3 linked regions of the Elephas maximus indicus genome follow. The protein of the gene in region 3 interacts with the protein of the main gene of each other region in a pairwise test. Links are inferred from orthologs where the notes say so. Each region holds a gene or a part of one and is shown on either strand. Other genes may lie near its edges.

Region 1 (4,010 bases), on a different chromosome or scaffold from region 3:
TCGAGGACTTTTAGTTCCCTAGCAGTCTCTGAGTGGCGCCAGCGGTTTGCAGTCAACTACTAACCTAAGTTGGCAGTCAAACCCACCCAGCCGCACAGCAGAAAAAAAAGCCTGGAGATCTGCTTCCCGAAAGATTACAGCCAAGAAAACTCTACGTAGCAGTTCTACTCTGTAACACATGGGGTCACCATGAGTCAGAATCAGCTCCACAGAAATCTGTTCGGTGTTTTTTTTTTTTTTAATTTCCTAGAAAGAAGTTTCCTTGAACTGGCCTAATAAGGTAAGATTCGTAGCTGGCCTCTTCCTGGCTCCCAAAAGATCTTTTTCCGCTGTCCCTAGTGCTCATTACTACTACCCTCCCTCTGTAATAGATACTTCAGGGTATGGATTTAAAAGTTTTAGGAGAAATAAGTAAATGAACTAAGACTAAACTCACAAGAGAGAATCAAATGTAGCAATTAAAATTACCGGCCAATTTTTTTTCGAAATATAATACTCTGTGCTTTCTTCTTTGGGTGTCGCACCCTGTAGTTTTGTGAGCTTAGAAAATAAATATGAACAGAATGTGTTGCCTGCTGGGAAGCAAAAGCTCGAGAAAACGGTTCTAGGACTAAGTGTCTTCCCTCCTCTGTGACTTCAGCTTGCTCCACAGTGACAGCGGATGGTCTGATAGGGAGGCACTACCCAAACAACGAACGTGTACCTGAGCATGTCACCTCAAAGCTAGATGCCCGGCAATGCTGAGTACTTATTTAGAAACCCTAAAACCGAGAGGGCAGGGATACCTAAGGATGATTCATTTTCCACTTAAGATTGAAATGTCTTAACACCAGGCGTCTACCTACTACAGAGCATTGCCTAACGCCTGGTACAGTATATGTTAATCTCAGGCTGGTGATCTACTCAGTTCTCAAAAATACTGGAACCCCTATACATACGGTAAGTGTATACACTTCGGTGTGTATTAGGACATTAAAAGGGCTCCAGGGAACTCTCTGGTTGTCTTGAAATACCTCCACCTCCCGGAGCCCGTCCCTTTAGCCCAGAGGGCAACCTGGCGATCTCCTAGGAGACCACAAGGAAACAAGTGCGCACGCGTAGGGCACAGCCCGGCTGATGCAACCTTCCGCGTGCGAGCGGCGTCCGCCGAGAGTAAGGAAGCCGACAGGGAAATGGGCGAGACCAATCAGCGGCCACACGGAAGTGCGCGCTAAGGCCCGCCCCCCGGTGCTCTGCGAGGGACGTTCGGCTGCGCCGGGCTGGCGGCGTAGGCGCCCCGGCCGTGCTGCGTCTCATCCGGTTGCCTCGGGGTGTCCTGCCCCGGCGCTGGCCCTGCGGCCATTTTGGACTGGGCTTCCACCCGCGTTCGCCTGCCTACCCCGTCCTTCCGGTGTCGTGCTGCGGAGGGGCTTTTTAACGGTCCTTCTCTCTTGGAAGGTCGCCGCCGGAGGAGCGTTCCCATCTATGGTGGCCAGGCCTCGAGCGAACTAGGACACCCCCTTCCTCGCCGGGATGGCTCTCGCCTCAGCTGCCGCGTCCTGTTCCTGCAGTTCCGGGCCGCGATCCGCCGCCTGCTGCCGAAGCCGCTTTGCTCTGTGGCTCCTCTCCTGGCCCGGGGACCGGCCTGGAGCACCGACTCCGCTGCTTGGTAAGGCCAAGACTGTTTAGGCCTCTTCCGAATCGCGTCCGCCCTCCGGCCGCCGAGGTCCGAGTGCCTGAGACATTGCCAGGAAAAAGGAGATGGAGCCGGGAGCAGACAGGTCGCGGAGACGGGCGGGCGCCCGGTTCCGGCTGCCCTTCCTCTTCCCTTGGCCATCGCGGCCAGGCTCTTCCAAGTTCCCCACACCCGTCGCTCCGGAAAGCTCCGGGGACCCCAAACTGGCTTCCTCTCCCCCGCCCCAGGCTCGGACCAGCTACTGGATGAAACTGCTTTCCCAGCTCTTTGCGCCGCTCCCCAGCTTGTTTCAGAAGCTGCTGATTTGGAGCCAGCTTTTCGGTGGGCTGAGTCCCACCAGATGGCTGGAGTTTGCTGGAGGCTACAGCGCCCTGAGAGCCCTGAGGGGACGGGACGAACCTGTCGCGCCCATCGCCCAGAAATCTGTGAGTTCGCTGCGGCTCGACCTCTCGGACGACTCGGCGGCTGCCAGCCCCCTTGATTGGCTAGAGGAGGGGATCCATTGGCAGTGCTCGTCCCCAGATCTAGAATTGGCACTTACAGCCAAAGGGCGCGCATTGGACCCTGCGGCACCCGCTTTCCTCTTAGAGCAGCAGCTGTGGAGAGTGGAGCTGTTGCCGAGTAGCCTTCAAGCCCAGCTCTTGAACCGGGAACTTGGCTCTTCGCCCTCAGGGCCTCTCAACATTCAGCGCTTAGGCAACTTCAATTTAGTCTCCTGTTTGCTGAACGCCTCCTACCTGGACTGCCTTCCTCGCCTAGAGCTCAGTTATCAGAACAGCGTGGGAAGTGGCCAGCTGGTGGATTGCCAGATTTGGACTCCAGAGAGCAGCTGCCTGACTGATGACCATTGTCACCCCAAGCCACTGAATGCAGAGGTCACTAAAGCCTCGTGGCAAGAATGCCCACCTCTTTCTACAGAAGGCCTGCCCGAAATCCACCATCTTCGCATGAAACGTCTGGAATTCCTGCAGCAGGCTGGCAAAGGGCAGACGTTACCCACCCCTGACCAAGATCATGGCTACCACAGCCTGGAGGAGGAGCACAGCCTTCTTCGGATTGATCTGCAACACTGCAGAGAGAACCCAGCACAGTTTGTTTCACCTGCGGAAGCCATACCTGGAACCTCCCAGGAAGTCACTGAGGAAAACATAGAATTGCTGACTGAAGAGGCTCTCCATGCTCTGGAAAAACAGGACCCTTTGGGAAGCTGCCCATCTTGTGAGATATCTGTGGTTGAAGAGCCTGGAGAGGACCAGGTTTGTGGGGTTGACAACTCAACCCTAGAAGATGACCAGCCCATGTCTGCCAGACCAGCCTGTAGCAACAAACTGATAGATTACATTTTGGGAGGTGGGTCCAGTGACCTGGAGTCAAGTTCTGATTCCGAAGGTGAGGATTGGAATGACGAAGCAGAGGATGATGGTTTTGACAGTGATAGCTCACTTTCAGAGTCAGACCTTGAGCAAGACTCTGAAGGGCTTCACCTTTGGAACTCTTTCTACAGTGTAGACCCTTACAATCCCCAGAACTTTACAGCAACCATTCAGACTGCTGCCAGAATTGGTCCTGGAAACCCCTCTGATTCAGAGAACGATTTGTCCGACGGATCTGATCTAGAGAATTCTCCCCAGACTAGAAGCCTTCCTGAGTCTCCTGACCAGAGTTCTGGAGAGGAAGATGACTGGGAATCTAGCGCAGATGAGGCTGAGAGTCTCAGACTGTGGAACTCTTTCTGTAACTCTGATGACCCCTACAACCTTTTGAATTTTAAGGCTCCCTTCCAAACATCAGGGAAAAATTGGAAAGGCCATCGTGACTCAGAGAGACCATCTGAGTCCTTTGTAGCCATTTCTGAGTGTCACACCTTCCTTTCTTGTAAAGTGCAGCCGTTAGGGAGCCAAAGAAGTGACTGTCCAGACTTGGTCCACTACCAGTTTCTCTCTGGGGAAAGACACAGGCATATCAAAAGAAAAAAGGTTCGTTTATTTTCTTAACATGCGTGGTGATTTGTTCTCGTGGTGGATGTGGTTAAACACAGCAGCATGACTTTTTTGGAGGCATAGTAGTGCATCTTTTTGGGGAAGATCTCTAAATGGGTTGGGAGTTTCCCTGCAGGTTTCAACTTTTCATGCTTTTTCAGGGAACGGAAATATACACAATTTTTCTAGAGATTGGGACGGTCCTATCATTTAGAGTTTTTAAATGGTTATCATGTGATATGCCATTGGCAAACGCTTAATATTTTACTTACATGATAACAGTGTCCTCATTTTTTTTTTTTTGTACTTTAGATGAAGGTTTACAGAGCAAATTAGTTTTCTCATTAAACATTAAT
Region 2 (4,010 bases), on a different chromosome or scaffold from region 3:
CCCTCAGACCTGTATGGGACTCCCCACCCCATCCTCTTCCCCACCTCCTCCTCTTTCACACCCTAGAGATGGCCTAGTCCCTTTAGCAGGTCACACAAAGTGCCCCTCCCTGTGGAACTGGACCTTGGTAGCTTGAAATAGCACTGACCCCCAGGTGACTGAGTCCCAGCCTAAGCCTTTCCCCCACCCCCAGTCACACGGTCCCAGTTCAGTGCACCCTGACAGACCTGCTTCCCCCTTTCACTTCTGCAAAGTTGGGGTGGGGGCTACAGGCACGATGGAGGAAGGGCTGCAGTGTCCTGCCCCTTCATTCGTTCTGGGAAGTTCCCAGCTCCCCTTCCTTCTCTCTCCTGCCTCTGTTCAGCCCCCCTCACCCTATCCAGCTCCTGTCTGTGGGGGAAACGAAGGAGTGTTTCCAAGCTCCCCCGGCCCCCTCGCGCCCAGAGTAGGGTAGGACAAATGCGGGGGGGGGGGGGGGGAGGGTTCTCCTGAGGACACACGTATGCCTTTCCACCAGCCAAGCCTCTGCCCCTGGCAGCCCCAGCCCCAGCCCCTGGAGGAAGGAAGGTCTGGGAGAAAAGGCAAAGCAGGTGTCTCAGCACCCGCATAGGGCAGGACGGGTGGGGCACCTGAGGGCAGGTCGGGGCAGGCCACCCCCTTCCCAGGCCTGGAAATCATCCCCCTCTGACAAACAGCTGGAACTCCCCCACGCCCCCCTCAGGGTGGCAACTTCTGGGAAGGGGGCTGGGTGGCAGGGGCTGACTCAGCCTGCCAAACCAGGCCGGCCGGGTGGGGGCGTCGGCGCGCACGTGGCAGGGGCGGCGCAGGGGTGGCCGGGGGTTGGGGGCGCTCACTCACTTGGATGGGCGCCGTGCTGAAATGGATCTTCCGGCTCGGGGCCGGGTCCTCTTCCTCCGAGAGCCCCGGGATCTCCACACATCCCGACTCGGGCTCGTAGGGGGGCTCCCCATCCTCCTCGTCCTCTTCGTCCTCTTCCTCCAGGGCACTGCCCCCAGAGTCCTCCCCAAGCCCGCTGTAAGCGCTCACGTCCACCAAGTCGGCTTCGGAGAAGTCCTCCTTCTTGGACTCATCCGCCTCCTCAGGGGCCAAGTCTGGGGCCCGGCCATTGCCGACCCCCTTATCTGTCACAGCCACAGCCACAGCCGCCGACGCCGGCGCCTCGTCGGGGGCCGCTTGGGCCTTCTGCTCCTCGGGCGCGGGGCTGGCTGTGGTTGCCACGGTGCTCCCATTCTCCAGGGCCGCATGGACCGTCACCTCGGCCTGGATCACTTCCCCGGGCGCCGCCTCGGCCTCCGACTCCCCGCTCTCCTCCACCTCCACCGGCTTAATCTTGCGCACCTCCCGGGGCTTGGGGGGCGGCCGGGCGGGGGCGACTCGGTGTTGCGGGGGCTGCTGCCCTCCGGGGCCGCGCTCCTTCTCGGCCGGGGCATCCCCCGACGGGGCGGGCGGTGGCGGCGGTGGCTGGAACACCCGGGAACGCTTACTGACCAGCTTCGAGTTGACCTGCGGAGCCCCGGCGGCCGCGGCCCTGGGGGGCCCGGGCCCACGGTGGAGGCCGGTCCTCAGGTCGGCCTTCTCAAAGACGGCGCTGAGCTGGCTGACCGTCGGCGACACAGCGTCGGCGTCCAGCTTGTCCAGCGCCTCGGTACTGCCGTTGAAGCGCACCACTACGTCCAGCTTCCGATCCTGCAGGCCGGCGCGCTCCTGCCTCAGCAGCCGCCGCGCCGCGGCCTCCTTGTCGCCGCCCGCGGCCGCGGGGACGCTCCGTTCGAACAGCTTCCGCGTCTCCTGCAGCCGGGAGGGCGGATGCGGCGGCGGCGCCGGCTGCGCCGAGGGCGCGGGCTTAGAGTCGAAGCGGCTCACGCGCTCCGACACGCTGGTGCCCAGCTTGAGCAGGGCGCTGTGGTCCACGTTCTCGTTCAGGCTGCTGGCCCGCGGCAGCGACAGGCGAACGCCGCGCTCGGGCGCCCGCGGGGCCTCGGTCGGGCCCGCGCCGCCGCCCGCCTCGCCCGGCGGCCCGGCCGTCGTGCCCATCTGCAGGAACATACTTTTGATGCGGTGGACGTTGGAGCCATATTTCTTGTGGTGGGCTGCCTTAGGTGCCTCGTCCGGCCCGGGCGCGTCGGGCGGCTTCAGCGCCTGGATGCCCGCCTCGTAGGCGCTACGGTGCGGGGAGGCGCTCCGGAGGGGACCCCCGGGCCCCCGCGGCTCTGTCTTCATCATGGTGGGGGGAGCCGGGTTCGCATCCCCCTGCTCCCCGTTCTCCCCCGCCAACAGGCGGGTGGCCAAGTCGGGACCACTGTCCCCCTCCCCCCGAAAAGAAACCCTGAGAGGCCTTTTCTAGGCTCCCCCAAAAACCAAGCTGCCAAAAACAGTTAACCCTGTTTAAGGAAAAAAAAAAAAAAAGGAAAAAATCCCCGGGCGTCCTGTGTGGGTAGCCTTCCCAAATCAAGCTGCCAAAGACAGTCAGACCCTCTTAAAAAGCCCAAGCGGCCTGGTACGGTCGCCCCCACCTAAAATAGAAAAGCGGCGGCCAGGCCGGTGGGACGGCGCGCCCTGTCCAAGCAGCAGCGGCGGCGGCGCCGGCTCACATCCTCCGAGGCGGTGTCAGCGGGGCTGGCAGCCCGGGCGTCCCCCACCCCTGCCGGGGGCCTCGGCTCTCCGGGGGCCGGGCACCCCGGCGCCCATGGCTGCTCCGCCGGCCGGGGCCGCTCCGCCGCCGCGCCTCCCTCCCTCCCTCCCTCCCCCCCGCGCCCCGAGCTCCGGTCTTTCTCTCGCTGTGCCCGAGCGGCGGCTGCCGGAGACCGAGCGGCTGCCCTTCTCGCCGCCGCCGCTGGGGGACTGGCACCTCTGGGTCCTAGAGGGATCGGATTTCCGGGGCCAGAGTCTGTGAGCCCACCCCTTCCCCTACACCCAAATAAATCCCCTCCCCTGCCGGTCCCTCGCCGAAAGCCTTCCGCTGCCCTCAGGCCTTGCTCAATCCTCTGCGACCCTTCCATCCCAGCCTCTGGCTGCGGTTTATCACAACCCACATAACCGCACCCCCATTAAATATTGGGGGTAGGGCAGACCAACCACAGTGGTTTTAGTGGGGCCCCTCTCCACCCCAACGTGAAGGGGGATAGGTAGGAAGGGGCAAAGGATCATTTTCTTCCAGGTCCTTAAGGCTCGCTAGTGTTGTTCAAAGCTGTCATTATCAAAATCACTGGGGCTTGGTAAAAACACAGATTCTGGGCCCTCCCTCAAACTTTGTGAATCAGAAGCTCAGAGAGCGGCCCGGGATTCTGCATTTTACCACTTTTCCTCCTGGGGAATCTTAGGCACTCCGTAATGTCTGAAACCTTGGTACAGTGTTGCTGGCCTTAGGAGGGAGGAGGAGAAGGAATGGAGAAAGAAGGTGGTCCCCATCACCCGAAGGGCAGGAAATCCCGAAAGCTACCCTTTGCCATTCGGAAGTTTGTAGAGGGTGTCCCGGTAGCCTGTCTGCACCCCAGGCTGGAACGGAGGGGTCGCAAACCCCTTCCTCCTACCCCTACAGGAGCACTCGCCTCTCAAGCAGGAAGGGGGAGATGAGGAGGAGGAATTCTAGAGGCCTGTGGCCAAGGTTTACCCAGCGAGAATTCTAACTTGGGTCTCTTATCTAGAGGGTCCTGGCCACTATGTGCATGTGGGGGTGGGGGGGGGGCAACGAGGTCACAATGACCTACACATGCCCTGTCCTGGCAACCCAGAAAACTATTTTGATGTTCCCTCGCAGCCCACACCCCTCTCCCGCCCTAACACTCACACAACAGGGGGCCAGGGCTGCCCTGCACCCCTCCCCAGCTGCCCGGGCGGGGGACGGAGGTGTGCGAAGAGGTACACTCCAAACCAAGACCCCAGAGCCTCGGCTTTGCTCCAGATCCCAGAGACGACTGAACGGAGTGGACCCTAGGACCCAGAGAACAACTCAGGCACAAAGCCTCCCGCCCCCCCAGCTGCTTCCTGCA
Region 3 (4,010 bases):
TTCCCCACCACCACCACCACCACCGCCAGGCCCAGGCAGGCCTCTTCATCCTCCCCTCAGCATTTACCAATCGCTGAGCACAGGGGCAAACAAACAAGAATTCCCTGCCCTCAAGGAATGCCCACAGCTCTCTGGAAAAAGGAGATAAGCAAATTCCACCACAGTGCACCCTAACAGAGGGTGGTGAGGCAACTTCTTGGAAAAAGTGACATCTAAGACAACACGCAAGCCGTTCCAGGCGACAGGACACTCGCCCTCCAGCGAACCATGCTTCATCCCAAGGCGGTGTGGCTGGCCCTGCCTTCGCAGGCATTCACTCCCTCAGCAGCACGACGCCGGCTGTAAGAAGGCGCTCGCCAGCCCCCAGGCCCGCACCTCCATGGCAGCAGAAAATCTTCTCATCCACAATGGCCGCGATGGGCAGGCAGTTGAAGCAGTCGGTGAAGGTTTTCCACAGCTTGATGTTGTAGCGTCTCTTGCCTGCTTGGAGGAAAGGGCTGGCTCTGAGAAGGCTGTTCACTGACCCCACCCCACCCCAGCCTGGGTCTCTGGGCCCCCCAGGGTGCTGCGTGGGCCATCCAGACCCAGCTGGGAGAAGAGAGTGAAAGGCAAGGGGGCTAACATTCCCCACGCTGCCTACCACTCCTCCAGGATGGAGTTCTAAAGCAGCAGAGTCCACAGGAACGCCCAAGTTCCAATCCAGAACCTCAGGGTTGGTACATCCTCCGCCTAACACACACCCACCCACCCCAACCCCATGAGCAGGGCCAGGCAAGACCTGATCTGGTTTAGCTCAGCTTCTGGCCAGCAGAGTCCAAGCCAGTTAGACGTCCTGAGTATTTAAGTAATGGGTGCACTGGAGGTGGGAGTGTCACCAGGCAGAGCCTCCAAGAAAAGCAGTACGAATTCAAATTGCCAGCAACCATTCACCAAGCCCCTCCTGAGTGTATCCCCTCCAGGGAGGGCGGGCCAGGCAGACATGCCCTGAACCAGACCCTGCCTTTGCGGAGCTCAGTCTAGCGGGAATCTGGCAGGCAGTATGGCTAACGCCAAGCCAATATGAGGGTTCCGCTGAACAGAGAGGAGGGCATTTGAGCTGGGCAGTGCCCAGACCCCGGACCACTCACACTCGTCATAGAAGCCGTAGATGCGGTTGATGCTGGCACACTCGTGGTTCCCACGGAGCAGGAAAAAGTTCTCGGGGTACTTGATCTTATAGGCCAGCAGCAGACAGATGGTCTCCAGAGACTGCTTGCCCCGGTCCACGTAGTCCCCCAGGAAGAGGTAGTTGCTCTCCGGAGGAAAGCCGCCGTACTCAAACAACCGCAGAAGGTCATAGTACTGGCCGTGGATGTCACCTGTGACCCCGGGAATCGCGTCAGTGCCAGGTGCAGGGTTTGCAAGTGAAGCGGGGTCAGGTTAGGCTCCAGAGAGGAGGGACCCAGACACTTGAGGGGCCTATGCCACTTTCAGGGGGCTCACCGCATATCTTGAGGGGCGCCTCCAGCTCCAGAAGAATGGGCTGGCTCAGGAAGATCTCCCTGGACTTGAGACACAGACCACGGATCTCGTTCTCTGTCAGCTGGACATTCTTCCCAGGCCGTGAGCCTTGCACTGGGGGAGAAAAGGGCGTCAGGACTCTGGGTCTTCAGGCAGGAGGGTGGGCGACACGGGGTCCCACGGTACCCCTCCTGGCCCAGGGACAGATGTTGCTGTCGCCTGGGACCTCGGCCTCAAGCCCCCCAAGACAGGACCCCACTACCCTCAGGGCCCTGTACATGGGGTTGCTGTGCGCCAGGCCCGCCGCCCCACACCTCAGAGCGCGGGACCCCACCCCGGTCTAGGCGCCTCAGGTCCCGCACGCACCCGAGACCCCCGGCCCTGGAGAGGGGGCTGCTCCGCGAGCCGGAGCGGGCCTCGGACCCCCCAGGCGTGCCCGCGCGTGGGGGAGCGGCGGTGGGCCGGGACCTCGGGGCGTCCCCGCCCAGGCTACGCAGGCCCGGGAGGGGCAGGCTCGCCGCGCGCCACTTCCGGGCCGGGCGGGGGGCCAAGGCGGGGCGGGCGCGACCCTGCCCGGCCCCCGCTCACCTTCCAGAAGGCGCCCGATGATGGAGTCCAAGTTGAGCTTCTCGGTGTCGGACATGGCGGCGCCGCCGCTCCGACCCTGCCGCTCCGGGCCCGCTCCTGCCGCCCGCCCTCCTGCTGCCTCCTTCCGGCCTGGCGCTCTTTCCGCCCGCCCGGGCCGCCCCCGCGCGCCTCCCGCCCCGCCTCGGCCGCCGCCCGGCCCGCGCCCGCGCCCGCGCCCGCGCCCGCGCCCGCGCCCGCGCCCCGCGCTCTAGCGCCCCCTCCGGACGGGAGGCGCGGCGCCGCCACGGCCTTGGAGGCCGGGCCTCGGCGGTGGGCGGGCTTTGGCGGGGTGGGGTGGAGCCTGGCTGTGGCTTGGGGGCGTGGTTTGTGGGGCGTGGCCACGTCTGGTCCCGCCCCCCGAGGAGTCACGGAGCCCGGTTCTGAGGTCTCTCACCAGAAGTCCTATGGAAGTTGTTTTTCCCTTTTAGACTGAACAGCCCTTTTTCCACCGCTGCCCTGTGGTGGTTTGGCCCTGGGGCGAGGGTGGTGCGAGCGCATTAATAACCGCGACAAACCCAGCCCTGTCCGTCTCCCCAAACGTGGCGGGTTGAGTCCTAGAAGTTCAGAAAAGGAAACTGAGGCTTCGAGATAGCAAAGGGCTGACCTGAGACAGTGATCTCACATTCACGGAGGGTCTCATTCTCCTAAGTCTCCCTGGCAACCCCCGGGCGGCCGACCAAGCCCGAAGACCACCTGTCACTGACCTTCAAACCCATTCTTGTCCACACCGAACCAGAGTAGTGCTGGCTAAATGAAAGTCCTGTAATTACCTTGTGAGTAATTACCTTGTGAGTAGCACAGTTAAACAATGTGCACGCATTATGTACGTGTTAAAAGCGTAACTTTGTAAAGAGCAAACAGTAAATAAGCCCTAATTCTCATTGGAGCCCCACCTTGGACGTCTTACATGCCAGGAATCTAAATCGGAGGCGACACCTCCTCTCTACCTCTCTACCTAGCAGACCCGCGCCACACAGAAGGCATAGAAACCCACATCTGCGGCCCCGTGGGAGGTTGGGAGGGGCCGTGGCTCACAGGGCACCAGGGCAGGCAGGAAGAGCCTCAGAGAGGAAGGGGTGACCTCCCTACTTGGGAGGGGCCCCTCAGCGCGCTGCTGAAGCTAGGGTTGAGGAGGAAGTGAGAGGAGGAGGTGAGGTGCAGCCCAGAGGTGAGCTGGGCTGGTGGGGGCAGCAGCTGGGCCTGGGTCTGGATCTTTGTACAGAGGTCTGGCCTTGCTGCCATTTCAGGGCCTAGTCACCAGCCCCTGACTCCGAAAAAGAGGGAACCCAGGGGCCTTGGTGAGATACCCTGAAACCTACCCCTCCGACTCAACATCTAGGCCCTGGGGCTGGGGCCTGGCTGGCTGTGAGCCCCGAACCCAGACGGGTCGGGAACTGCCCTTTACCCTGGCTCTCCCCGCATCTTGCAGCCGGTGGCATCTGGGGTCGGGGGCAGCATGGCCCAGGCCCTAGGGGAGGACCTGGTGCAGCCTACCGAGCTGCAGGATGACTCCAGCTCCTTGGGGTCCGACTCAGAGCTGAGTGGGCCCGGCCCATATCGCCAGGCTGACCGCTATGGCTTCATCGGCGGAGGCTCAGCAGAGCCATGGTAAGTGGGGGGGGGGGGGGGGGGAGGTATAGAGTGCCGGGGCTGAGGATGGGGCCTGAGGGCTGGATTCTGGAATGACGTCCAACTTTGAGCATCCTGGGAGGGTCTGGCAGTAGGGAATGGGACTCAGTCGGTATCACCTCTTTTCAAGCTCCAGGTAGAACCCTGAGGCAGGAATGGCTGGGAGGAAATCCCTATATGTCTCTTGTACCCTCCCAAATCTCTGAGGGTTGACACCCACCACTGGGGCTGAACATCCTTCTGCTTTTAACCTC

What was found.
Region 1: the proteins of PPP1CA (region 3) and PPP1R15B interact in binary tests that used the Homo sapiens proteins (3 or more experiments, as listed by UniProt). The link is inferred for Elephas maximus indicus from reciprocal best matches to the Homo sapiens genes PPP1CA and PPP1R15B.
Region 2: the proteins of PPP1CA (region 3) and PPP1R9B interact in binary tests that used the Homo sapiens proteins (3 or more experiments, as listed by UniProt). The link is inferred for Elephas maximus indicus from reciprocal best matches to the Homo sapiens genes PPP1CA and PPP1R9B.

Annotation. Positions count from the first base shown.
Region 1 is NC_064836.1:13,666,061-13,670,070, reverse strand, and holds the start of PPP1R15B (protein phosphatase 1 regulatory subunit 15B), read left to right. Parts: upstream 1-1,221; 5' UTR 1,222-1,740; coding exon 1,741-3,651; intron 3,652-4,010. UniProt on the Homo sapiens protein: Maintains low levels of EIF2S1 phosphorylation in unstressed cells by promoting its dephosphorylation by PP1.
Region 2 is NC_064837.1:43,474,044-43,478,053, reverse strand, and holds the start of PPP1R9B (neurabin-2), read right to left. Parts: upstream 2,739-4,010; 5' UTR 2,245-2,738; coding exon 859-2,244; intron 1-858. UniProt on the Homo sapiens protein: Seems to act as a scaffold protein in multiple signaling pathways. Modulates excitatory synaptic transmission and dendritic spine morphology. Binds to actin filaments (F-actin) and shows cross-linking activity. Binds along the sides of the F-actin.
Region 3 is NC_064825.1:130,433,725-130,437,734, forward strand, and holds the start of PPP1CA (serine/threonine-protein phosphatase PP1-alpha catalytic subunit), read right to left. Parts: upstream 2,239-4,010; 5' UTR 2,144-2,238; coding exon 2,089-2,143; intron 1,615-2,088; coding exon 1,483-1,614; intron 1,359-1,482; coding exon 1,128-1,358; intron 481-1,127; coding exon 376-480; intron 1-375. Other genes in the region: TBC1D10C (carabin), read left to right, coding at 3,584-3,735. UniProt on the Homo sapiens protein: Protein phosphatase that associates with over 200 regulatory proteins to form highly specific holoenzymes which dephosphorylate hundreds of biological targets.